Saccharomyces cerevisiae S288C: one gene and its partners. The gene in region 1 interacts genetically with each later gene. Each region holds a gene or a part of one and is shown in the gene's direction. Other genes may lie near its edges.

Region 1 (3,930 bases):
AGGAGAGTTTGCTCTCTTCTGCATTTCCACATACACATTTGATGTTAATTTACATACGAGTATACTCTCGTACACAACATATATATATATATATATGTAATATATTCATAGCACTTACTTATTAATGAAGGCCATAAGCCAAACAACATCTCACCATTTTTCTTCAGGGTTTTCTTTAAACCTTAGGTAATCCTCTTTGTTGAAAAGCGAAATTTCGGTTTCATTCTCAATGCCATACTCGAACAGCTTTTTTTTGTCATTCTCTATGTCTAAAGTCCAGTCGTCATCGTGGTCAAAATTGATCACGAGATTAACCGTCTTGGAACCATGTGCGTGCGTGTATATCTTTAAAGTATCAAACTTAACATTACGGAATGGTCTGAATGAACCTTCATTTTGAATTTTGTTCAAAACGTCATTGAACAGGTCCTTTGCAGTTTTATCAGCAAGATCGTAATCGTGCAGCACTATGTTCTTGACGTTTCTATATGGGAAAGATTTTATTACTCGGATTGTAATAACGGAGTTCTTTAGTGGTCTGGCATTTGAGGTTAATGGCTCTTCCAAGTCATAATCATGAAAGGTTGTTGACATTTTCAGCCTTTTAGTTGAATTCATGAAATAATGCAACCAAACAAGAAAAAATTTGGGGGAGGTAGTCTACGCATTTCAGTTCTAACTTCCTTCCTTTTCTTTCACTATTAATTGAAACTTATTTTCATTTTTTTTCTTTAGCATTGAACGCCGAATCTAAAAAAGTAAAGAACTCCTCATAGGGGGCTCGAACCCCTGACATTTCGGTATCCTTGCTTAAGCAAATGCGCTTAAAAGCCGAACGCTCTACCAACTGAGCTAACAAGGATGAGTTCTTCGGAGGGCTAACTCATATAAATAACTAATAAAGGCGAAATAGTGGTCACCACCATCACACTACACCCATATCAACGACAAGAGTTTAATTTGACCGTGGAAATTTATTACTGCTGATTTGGGTTCTATGATAAATCCTCGTAACGTAGAGACTATGTTTTTATATGCGCATTAAGTGCCGGAAAACGTGAGAAATAGGCTTTCCGGAGCATCAAACCTGAGGTTTCATAAATTGTGTTCGTGAAGGATGCATTCCAGAGGGCCATCCATCCAGCATAAAAAGAGATCTACAAAGCAATTATGTGGTTTCGCCATTATCCGTAGGATGACCTAAAAAATGGTAATGATTCACGTGATCTAGAAACTTTAACGTGTTATATCATTCAAGGCGTAACTTATACGCGCGGGGTACCCTATCATATCTAACACACGTACCCTGGGTTAATGCCATGATCGTCTTTGATGTATCTCTAATGATCATTATTATTTTTTCTTTTGCTTTTAACATGAGTCAAAGCAATATTCTTATGTTATATAACTCACCCCATGTGCTCGTGGGCAGTGACGCACGCAACTTTTTCTCTTGCAAAAAATGGCATCGATGCTTTTCTGGGGAGGTGATATTAGAGGAGAAGAAGTCACAGAGTGCTCTTGGATCACGATCCCTCACTTGTACTTGTCCACTTATCAGCGCCGTCCAGTTACATTTGGAGAGATCTTTTTTTAGCCTGGCCTTCTTTGCTGTCATACTACTTTATATTCCGGGATAAAATATAAAGAAATATTAGTTAGGAAAAAATTAATAGGGAAGAAAGATCTAGAAGCAAACAGCAATGACTGCCGTCGCCTCTACTAGCGGGAAGCAAGATGCTGACCATAACCAGTCTATAGAGTGTCCAAGGTTTTCGCGTGGACAGAAAGAGATTTTGTTGGACCATGAGGATGCGAAGGGGAAGGATTCAATAATCAACTCCCCCGTGTCAGGGAGGCAATCAATAAGCCCTACTTTGTCGAATGCTACTACCACGACTACGAAATCTATTATGAATGCCACCGGCACCTCCGGCGCAGTAGTAAGTAATACTCCGGAGCCTGGTTTGAAGAGAGTCCCCGCCGTCACTTTCAGTGATCTAAAGCAACAGCAAAAGCAGGATAGTCTGACTCAGCTGAAGAACGACTCAGAAAGGACCAAGTCTCCAAATAGTAATCCTGCTCCTGTCTCAAATTCCATTCCTGGCAATCATGCAGTTATACCGAACCACACCAACACTTCAAGAACAACGCAATTATCTGGGTCTCCACTCGTCAACGAAATGAAAGATTATGATCCTAAGAAAAAAGACAGTGCTCTTAAAATAGTTGATACCATGAAGCCTGACAAAATCATGGCCACTTCAACGCCAATAAGTAGAGAAAATAATAAGGTAACCGCCAAAGCCCCCACCAGTATTACACTTCGAAAGGAAGATGCACAAGATCAAGCTAACAATGTTTCAGGCCAAATTAATGTGCGTTCTACCCCGGAAGAAACGCCAGTGAAGCAGTCCGTCATTCCTTCCATCATCCCCAAAAGAGAGAACTCCAAGAATTTGGATCCCAGACTACCTCAAGATGATGGAAAATTGCACGTGTTGTTTGGCGCTACAGGTTCGTTATCGGTATTTAAGATCAAGCCAATGATTAAAAAACTAGAAGAAATATATGGACGTGATAGAATAAGCATTCAAGTTATCCTCACTCAATCAGCAACACAGTTTTTCGAACAAAGATATACCAAGAAAATTATCAAATCTTCAGAAAAACTAAATAAAATGTCGCAGTACGAATCCACTCCGGCAACTCCAGTGACACCAACACCAGGACAATGCAACATGGCTCAAGTAGTCGAGTTACCCCCACATATTCAACTATGGACCGACCAAGATGAATGGGACGCATGGAAACAACGAACTGATCCTGTACTTCATATAGAACTACGTCGCTGGGCGGATATACTGGTAGTAGCTCCATTAACTGCAAACACATTATCAAAAATTGCTTTGGGCCTGTGCGACAATCTTCTGACAAGTGTCATTAGAGCTTGGAATCCGAGTTATCCCATTCTTTTGGCACCTTCTATGGTGAGTAGCACTTTTAATTCTATGATGACAAAGAAGCAACTACAAACGATAAAGGAGGAAATGTCCTGGGTCACTGTTTTCAAGCCGTCTGAGAAAGTTATGGATATAAATGGTGATATTGGTCTCGGGGGTATGATGGACTGGAATGAGATTGTTAACAAAATCGTTATGAAATTGGGTGGGTACCCAAAAAATAACGAGGAAGAGGACGATGATGAGGATGAGGAAGAAGACGACGACGAAGAAGAAGATACAGAAGATAAGAACGAAAACAACAACGATGATGATGACGATGACGACGATGACGACGACGACGACGACGACGACGACGACGACGACGACGATGATGACGAGGACGAGGACGAAGCAGAAACCCCAGGTATAATAGATAAGCATCAATAAATAGTCTATGAATTACAAATACACTAAACACATTCTACTTATTTGTGTTTTGTAATTTCTGGAAAAATACTCATTAGGCAAATTCACGCAGCATATTTACAAAATGTCACAAATTTTTTTCCTTTTTTACTTGCAGTAGGTATGTAATGCCATACTAGCGTACATAGAGCTCTTCATATAAACCGCTATTTATTACTAATTTTAATAATTCAGTAATTCATTAAATACATTCATTACTTTCTGGGTAAATATCTATTCGTTTCTCATTTTTCTTTTTTTGACATATCCCGGTACCGGAATAAGTCCGATACTATTCAAAAGCTTCTGGAAAAAAAAAATAAAAAAAAGAAATGATTAGTAATCATTTAATTTCATGACATATTAAAAAGGTATTCTAAGCAGAAGTCTTTCATCACATTTGATCTAAGCATATACACTGTAAGTGAAGGTATCGATGTCACAATACAAAACTGGTTTACTTTTAATACATCCGGCGGTGACTACAACGCCAGAGCTAGTAGAGAACACTAAGGCTCAA
Region 2 (3,241 bases), on another chromosome or scaffold:
GGAAGATTTATGACAATTGATAAGGGCACTTTTGGTGAATACACTGCTAGCACCCGTTGGCCCATTATCATTCAGAATGCTATAGACGATTTAAGTAAGCATCAAGAAACGGAGAAGAGTAACGGCACTAAGTTCGAACAAGGTGAAGTTATCAAAAAGGAGCTCAAGGAATTCCGTCAGGAGATAATTGATCGTGTACCTTTGAGACCCTTTACTGAAGAAGAGATCAAAATTGCCAACGTCCCGCTTTCGTTCAATGAATATCTAAAGAAACACCCTGAAGTCAATTGGGGGGCTGTAGAGTGGCTGTTCTCGGAGGTTTACTTGTATAGAAGAGTAAATGTTCTTTTCCAACGCCAATGCGAATGGGCTAAATTTGACATATTCAACAGACTTAAACAGTCAACTTTTGAGTCCTCGTTTTATGGTGTCGTGGAATTGGCGTTAAGGTATGAAAATCTGTTACCACAGCTGAGAGAAATGAAGCAAAATCCAGGAAATGAGATTGACGATATATTGAAAGTTCTTTTTAAAGAGTTTATTGAGATTTCTTTGTGGGGCAATGCCACTGATTTATCTTTATTGACCAACGCTACGTTAGAAGACATTAAATCAATCCAAGGGGCGAAAGCAAGAGCTGCATCCGAGTCCAAGATTGTTGTTAATGACACGGAGAAAGCATGGGAGGTATTAACCAAAGCCAGGGCCGATGCCAATAGCAGAGAAATTCGTGTTGATTTTGTATTAGACAATTCTGGCTTTGAATTGTATGCTGACTTGATGTTGGCAGCTTTTCTGTTACAAAGTGGTTTGGCTACCAAATGTATTTTCCACGCTAAAGACATTCCATACATGGTTAGCGATGTTATGTTAAAAGATTTTGATATATTAGTTCATGACCTGAGAGATCGTGAGTTCTTCCCAAGTGGTGAACCCTCGACAAAGGAATCCAGAGCTCTTGATTTATTTGCTGGTGAAATGGAAAAGTTCGTCTCTAGCGGTAAGATAGAATTCCGCGAAGATTCTTTCTGGACCACGGAATTAGATTATTGGAATTTGGACGCAAACGAAACCAAATACCATGGATCCATTTTGCACAAAGATTTGCAAAAATCCAATTTGGTTATTTTTAAGGGTGATCTAAACTATAGAAAATTAACTGGCGACAGAAAATGGCCCCGCACCACTAAATGGGAAACGGCTATCGGACCTCTTGCTACGAATGGTATTACATCATTGAGCTTGAGAACCTGTAAAGCCGATGTACAAGTTGCTTTACCTGAAGGTCTAGACGCGAAATTAAGTCAAGAATGGGAAAAGGAAAATCCTGGCCGTGGTTCTTGGTGGTGTTGTAGCGGTAAATGGGCAGTCATTTGTTTCTGCTCTGGTATACATAAATAAGAATATGATAAGTTCTCTATATAACTTTACTTTATGACTTTCCCTATGAAATGTTCCAAAAAAGCACATAGATTTTTAGTACGTGCCTTTTATTTTATGTACTTCTGATAAAAAAAAGAAAGCTCCTAAGGACAAATTACAATCAATGGCGAAAGAAGAGGAAGAAAGTAATAACGAGGAGAGATCATAAACATGGCGTCAGTAACAGAACAATTCAACGATATTATTAGCTTATACTCAACAAAATTGGAACACACATCTTTGAGGCAAGATTCACCAGAGTACCAGGGATTATTACTTTCCACGATCAAGAAATTATTAAACTTAAAAACAGCAATTTTTGACAGGTTGGCATTGTTCAGTACTAATGAGACCATTGATGATGTGTCTACTGCTTCCATCAAATTTCTAGCAGTTGATTACTATTTAGGATTATTGATATCAAGACGACAGTCGAATGATTCGGATGTTGCTCAAAGGCAGTCTATGAAATTGATTTACCTGAAAAAAAGCGTTGAATCTTTCATTAATTTCCTGACACTATTGCAGGATTATAAGCTTCTAGATCCTTTGGTTGGTGAAAAACTAGGTAACTTCAAGGATCGTTATAACCCTCAGCTTAGCGAATTGTACGCGCAACCAAAAAATAACAAAGATTTATCTGGAGCACAGTTGAAGAGAAAAGAAAAGATTGAGCTATTCCAGCGCAATAAAGAAATTAGCACAAAACTGCACTGCTTGGAGTTGGAATTAAAAAACAACGACGAGGACCACGACCATGATGAATTACTAAGAGAACTATATTTGATGAGGTTACATCACTTTAGTCTTGATACGATTAACAACATTGAACAGAATTTATTTGAATGTGAAATGCTCTCTAATTTCCTCAAAAATTCCGTACATGAAGTCAAATCATCAGGTACTCAGATACGAAAAGAATCGAATGATGATGATTCCACTGGTTTTACCGATAAATTAGAGAATATAAATAAGCCATTGATAGACAAAAAAGGTCAAGTCTTGAGGAACTTCACGCTTGTCGACAAAAGGCAACAACTGCAACAAAAAGTGCGAGGATATGGTCAATATGGACCAACAATGTCGGTGGAGGAATTTTTAGATAAAGAGTTTGAAGAAGGTCGCGTTCTTCAAGGTGGCGAAGAACCAGAGCAAGCACCAGATGAAGAAAACATGGACTGGCAAGATAGAGAAACCTATAAAGCTCGTGAGTGGGACGAGTTCAAGGAAAGTCATGCTAAGGGAAGCGGAAATACCATGAATAGAGGATAGAAAAAAATACCTATATACGTACACATAAGTATCTATTAGACAGATTCATATATTATTTTTTTTTCTGCCTACATCAGTTATATTTTAATCTTGTGCAAAAGGACTTCGTTATTTTTATTCACGGTGATTAACACCGGCGTAGAATCTACAATCAGATTTGAAGAAAATACCACAGGCTCTTTTCTTTCCGAGAAGTTGATGTCTGCTACGACAAATTCGTCGATGGATGGTTTTAGGTTTTCTAAATTCCTAAACTCAAAGTCTCCATTACTATATGATACGGTGATTATGCTGTCGTTCAAATCGAGTTGTATTGGTAGTGTTGACGATGGAGTCAATTGTTCCTTCAGTACAACTTTTTTCTTATCAAAAGAATAAACCAATAATCTCTCATTGCTTAGCTGAATCAGTAGCTTAGAAGTTTTTCTATCCAAAAATAAATGGTAACCTTCTTCTTCTGGCTTACCCGATAATATTGTATCAATCTTCAAATCAATTTTTTGTAGAAGCTTACCCTCGAAATCATATATGGTAAGCTGGTATGGAT
Region 3 (5,312 bases), on another chromosome or scaffold:
GGTCTAGTATATGATAATTGAGCCCACATATTGCGTTATTTTTTACGTATTGAGTTTGCAGCACTGTTTCGCTTTCTCTCAAGATGCACAAATACGACCTACCAAGAGCCTCCAAGTCCCACCAACGATTATGTCTTCTCTCAAATATATATACAAGTTACATGTAGAGAAATCGAGACGAGATTGCTGGCACAATGCACCCAACTGCATGTGCCATTGTGCATCTACACCTCCAAATTAGGGTGTCGATTGGCGTCGTCTTCTTTAATGTGGGTGCATTTTGCGGCGGCGCGACAAATATAGAGAACTGACCAAGGCAGTGCTGTCAAGAAGAGAGAATGGTTACGGCAGCGAAGACGCAAATGGGCTAGGCAGAATGGCATTCAAGTTATGGCTACTGGATGAGGAAACAATATACGAGCACGTGTTCGAACGGTACACACAATTGGAGGGCCAGTCCGGGAAACTGGCGCAGGATTTGGGTATTCAGGATAGAAGGGGCGGTGTGCTAGAGATAACGTTTGAACCCTCTGGGCTGGAAGGCGGCAGAAAAAAAAAGCGAGTGAGAAGAAGAAATAAGGCTAGTAGTGTTGAAGAAGATCAGAATGTTGCTGTGGATAGCTATCATGTTAGCGTGGGGCAGTCCATATCAAGCTTGCGCTCGTCCAGAGACAACGGAAACTCCACCACAGGATACGTTTTGTGGTCTACCACACCTTTCTTCATCAACTGGCTGCTGTATAGTACTAGCGCTGCACCTTTCCGTCTTGGGAGTCAGGTGGAAGTAACCTGCGGGTCTTCTTGCGAGGGGCACAAGCTTGAGTTGCCCAGGCTGGTCGACCTCACGGGCGCTGATCGCGGCAAGAGAGGTATCTTGGAACTTGGAGCAGGAATATCAGGTATTTTGCCCGTGATTCTTGGTAACTTCGTCGACACCTACGTGTCGACAGATCAGAAGGGCATTCTTAATAAATTAAAAGATAACATCATGGAAAACTTATCACAGTTGACCAGAAAGCGGTGCATTTCCCGATCACTAAGATTGGAACTTCCCACCGTCGAACCAGTTGGCGACGCTGATATCACCGCAGCGTCACTTCCATCTAAGTCTACGTTGCATTTGGAAGTAGCCGCTCTAGACTGGGAGAAGATAAACTTGCAAGACAAAAAGACCCACTCTCTGCATCCTGAGTTGTCACTCATAGGTGAAACATGTTCTTCCGTGTACGTTATAGCTATGGATGTCATATACAACGAGTACCTGATAGATCCGTTTCTGAAGACGCTCAAGCAACTCAAACACTGGTTACAAACTACCTACAATTTGCAATTCCATGTCCTCGTGGGGATACACTTGCGGTCACAAGAGGTGACAACACTGTTCTTGGAGAAAGCCATCATAGAATATGACTTCACGGTTTATGATATCGTTGACCAGGTCATACAAGAGTCCCGTTTTAACTTTTATCTTATCACCTAGTCCCATATATAATAATAGAAACAATATAATGCTGATAATCTTATTTTTCTTTGCGATGCGGCAGTGCCTCTTCCCCTCCGTACGGATTGGGAAGATTTTCATTTTTGATTAGCAAGGGCACTAAGCCAACTCTGTGTGATATAGCTAATAATCTAAAAGCTGCTGGATCCGTTATCGTCAAGATAAAGCGGACTTAGCGATTTACATAGGATCACACTTTCTACACACATTTGATTTTTAAGCTTCATTTTCCACTGCACTTATTTTTCCCAAGCATCGTGTTTTTTTGTACATTATAAAAAAAAATCCTGAACTTAGCTAGATATTATGGCTATCTGGGAGCAACTAGAAGTCTCAAAGGCGCACGTTGCTTATGCATGTGTTGGTGTCTTTTCATCTATCTTCTCTTTAGTGTCACTTTATGTCAAGGAGAAGCTTTATATTGGTGAGTCCACCGTAGCAGGTATATTTGGGCTAATTGTGGGTCCTGTTTGCTTGAACTGGTTTAATCCTCTGAAATGGGGGAATTCAGACAGTATAACATTAGAGATAACGAGAATAGTATTATGTTTGCAAATTTTTGCCGTTGCCGTGGAACTGCCACGGAAATATATGTTGAAGCATTGGGTATCTGTGACGATGCTATTATTGCCAGTGATGACAGCTGGATGGCTTATTATTGGTCTCTTCGTTTGGATTCTTATACCTGGCTTGAATTTTTCTGCTAGTTTGTTGATATCTGCGTGCATTACCGCAACAGATCCTATTCTGGCGCAGTCGGTCGTCTCCGGTAAGTTTGCCCAAAGAGTACCTGGTCACTTAAGAAATCTACTGTCTGCAGAGTCAGGCTGCAATGATGGTATGGCCTTTCCTTTTTTATTTCTTTCTATGAATTTAATCCTACATCCCGGTAATGGAAGAGAAATTGTCAAAGATTGGATTTGCGTTACTATCCTGTATGAGTGTTTGTTTGGATGCTTGCTAGGTTGCTTCATTGGTTATGTAGGCAGAATCACCATCAGGTTTGCCGAAAAGAAAAACATTATCGATCGTGAGTCGTTCTTAGCATTTTACGTTGTCCTGGCGTTCATGTGTGCTGGGTTCGGCTCCATTTTGGGTGTGGATGACCTATTGGTATCATTTGCAGCCGGTGCGACTTTCGCTTGGGATGGGTGGTTTTCTCAAAAGACACAAGAAAGTAATGTTTCTACCGTGATTGATTTGCTACTAAACTATGCGTATTTTATCTATTTTGGTGCCATTATACCTTGGAGTCAATTCAACAACGGTGAAATTGGCACAAACGTCTGGCGTTTAATTATACTTTCGATAGTGGTCATCTTTTTACGTAGGATCCCTGCAGTCATGATATTAAGACCTCTTATACCTGATATAAAATCGTGGCGTGAGGCACTTTTTGTGGGCCATTTTGGTCCTATTGGTGTAGGTGCAATTTTTGCCGCTATACTAGCTCGTGGAGAATTAGAGTCTACCTTTAGTGACGAACCCACTCCTTTAAATGTTGTACCATCAAAAGAGGAAAGTAAACATTGGCAGCTGATAGCCTGTATATGGCCAATAACTTGTTTTTTCATTGTTACTTCTATCATAGTTCATGGTTCTTCAGTTGCAATCATAACTCTAGGTCGTCATTTGAACACGATAACGTTAACCAAAACATTCACTACACACACCACCAATGGTGATAATGGGAAAAGTTCATGGATGCAAAGGTTGCCATCGTTGGATAAAGCTGGACGATCATTTTCATTGCATCGTATGGATACTCAAATGACTTTATCAGGGGATGAAGGTGAAGCAGAAGAAGGAGGAGGTCGTAAGGGACTAGCAGGAGGTGAAGATGAAGAAGGATTAAACAATGATCAAATTGGTAGCGTCGCAACGAGCGGAATTCCTGCAAGACCCGCTGGTGGTATGCCAAGGAGGAGGAAATTGTCAAGAAAAGAGAAAAGATTGAACAGAAGACAGAAACTGAGAAACAAAGGTAGAGAAATATTTTCATCAAGATCTAAAAATGAAATGTATGATGACGATGAGTTGAATGATCTGGGACGAGAAAGGTTGCAAAAAGAAAAGGAAGCACGCGCCGCCACATTTGCATTGAGCACAGCCGTCAATACACAACGTAATGAGGAGATTGGAATGGGTGGAGATGAAGAAGAAGATGAGTACACACCGGAAAAGGAATATAGCGATAATTACAATAACACACCAAGTTTTGAGTCGTCTGAAAGATCTTCATCTCTCCGAGGAAGAACTTACGTACCAAGAAACCGTTACGATGGAGAAGAGACAGAAAGCGAGATTGAAAGCGAAGACGAGATGGAAAATGAAAGTGAAAGATCAATGGCCAGTAGTGAAGAGAGGAGAATTCGAAAAATGAAAGAGGAAGAAATGAAACCTGGTACTGCTTATTTAGATGGTAATAGAATGATTATTGAAAATAAGCAAGGTGAAATCTTGAATCAAGTAGATATCGAGGATCGCAATGAGGCGAGAGATGACGAAGTTAGTGTTGATAGTACAGCCCATTCAAGTTTAACTACCACAATGACCAATCTATCCAGTAGTAGTGGGGGAAGGTTAAAGAGAATTTTAACTCCCACATCTTTAGGAAAGATACATTCATTGGTTGATAAAGGAAAGGATAAAAATAAAAACAGCAAGTATCATGCATTTAAAATAGACAATCTGTTAATCATCGAGAATGAGGACGGTGATGTTATAAAAAGATACAAGATAAATCCTCATAAATCTGATGATGATAAAAGTAAAAACCGCCCAAGAAACGATAGTGTTGTATCAAGAGCTTTAACAGCAGTAGGACTAAAGAGCAAAGCGAACAGCGGCGTACCGCCTCCAGTAGATGAAGAAAAAGCCATCGAAGGACCCTCCAGGAAGGGCCCAGGGATGTTAAAGAAAAGGACATTAACACCTGCGCCACCGAGAGGAGTTCAAGATTCCTTAGATCTGGAAGATGAACCTTCATCTGAGGAGGATTTAGGTGATAGTTATAACATGGACGATAGTGAAGATTACGACGATAATGCATATGAATCAGAAACTGAATTCGAAAGACAAAGAAGGTTAAATGCGTTAGGTGAGATGACGGCACCAGCGGATCAAGATGACGAAGAGTTGCCGCCCTTACCTGTGGAGGCACAAACAGGAAACGATGGTCCAGGTACAGCGGAAGGAAAAAAAAAGCAAAAGAGTGCTGCTGTTAAGTCGGCGCTATCAAAAACGCTTGGTCTCAATAAGTAATTTATTAATACACAAAGATATATTATTTTAGTATATATATAAACGAAATGCCTTTTTTATTTACATGTGTCGGAAATAGAGTAGATGCGGTAAAGAGGGGGAGGGGGGGGGGGTATGCGGTTTTGTCATTACTCTTTTCCGTTAAACTTAAAAGCTTAAAACATCATTGATAAAGGTTTTTAGTGAGGTTTCACTGGGGTTCACATTGATGAAATCTAATTGTCTGTAGGAGCCATTGTTCAAAAATCCGCGGCTGATATCTGAATATTGAATGATGTATTTATCATCTTGGGCAGTGTTCGTAGGAAATCGTAAATTCAAGACACGATGGGTCAAAACATCAGTCAATTGGTATTGCTGTATTAGGTTATCTGGTAAAGAAATGTTGATTTTTTTCATAAGATTCTGATATTTGTTTAACTTCCAGTGTGACTTGAGAAGAAATTCTTGGAGGCCTTTTTGTTCAGATAACCAAGCATCCGGATTGGTCTGGTCGAAATCAGGTAAAAGATCTTGAATGTAATCTGACGTGATCTTATAGTCTGTC

Evidence for each region. A genetic interaction does not mean that the proteins touch.
Region 2: mutations in SIS2 (region 1) and TAP42 together harm fitness more than expected from each alone (negative genetic interaction), as found in Saccharomyces cerevisiae (3 studies listed by BioGRID).
Region 3: of SIS2 (region 1) and NHA1, extra expression of one rescues a mutant of the other (dosage rescue), as found in Saccharomyces cerevisiae (3 studies listed by BioGRID).

The regions. Positions count from the first base shown.
Region 1 is NC_001143.9:575,897-579,826, reverse strand, and holds SIS2 (phosphopantothenoylcysteine decarboxylase complex subunit SIS2), read left to right. Parts: upstream 1-1,703; coding exon 1,704-3,392; downstream 3,393-3,930. Other genes in the region: AIM29 (Aim29p), read right to left, coding at 151-618; YKR073C (uncharacterized protein), read left to right, coding at 1,320-1,640; electron carrier DRE2, read left to right, coding at 3,847-3,930. UniProt on the Saccharomyces cerevisiae protein: Component of the phosphopantothenoylcysteine decarboxylase (PPCDC) involved in the coenzyme A synthesis. Acts as an inhibitory subunit of protein phosphatase PPZ1, which is involved in many cellular processes such as G1-S transition or salt tolerance.
Region 2 is NC_001145.3:325,889-329,129, forward strand, and holds TAP42 (Tap42p), read left to right. Parts: upstream 1-1,593; coding exon 1,594-2,694; downstream 2,695-3,241. Other genes in the region: YMR027W (putative methyltransferase), read left to right, coding at 1-1,401; FAR8 (Far8p), read right to left, coding at 2,772-3,241. UniProt on the Saccharomyces cerevisiae protein: Involved in negative regulation of the TOR signaling pathway in response to type of available nitrogen source. Inhibitor of PP2A phosphatase SIT4, which results in inhibition of nuclear export of MSN2, due to lack of dephosphorylation by SIT4.
Region 3 is NC_001144.5:416,630-421,941, forward strand, and holds NHA1 (Nha1p), read left to right. Parts: upstream 1-1,807; coding exon 1,808-4,765; downstream 4,766-5,312. Other genes in the region: TIS11 (Tis11p), read right to left, coding at 1-29; RKM5 (S-adenosylmethionine-dependent methyltransferase), read left to right, coding at 377-1,480; SLS1 (Sls1p), read right to left, coding at 4,913-5,312. UniProt on the Saccharomyces cerevisiae protein: Sodium export from cell, takes up external protons in exchange for internal sodium ions. Also capable of exporting potassium ions.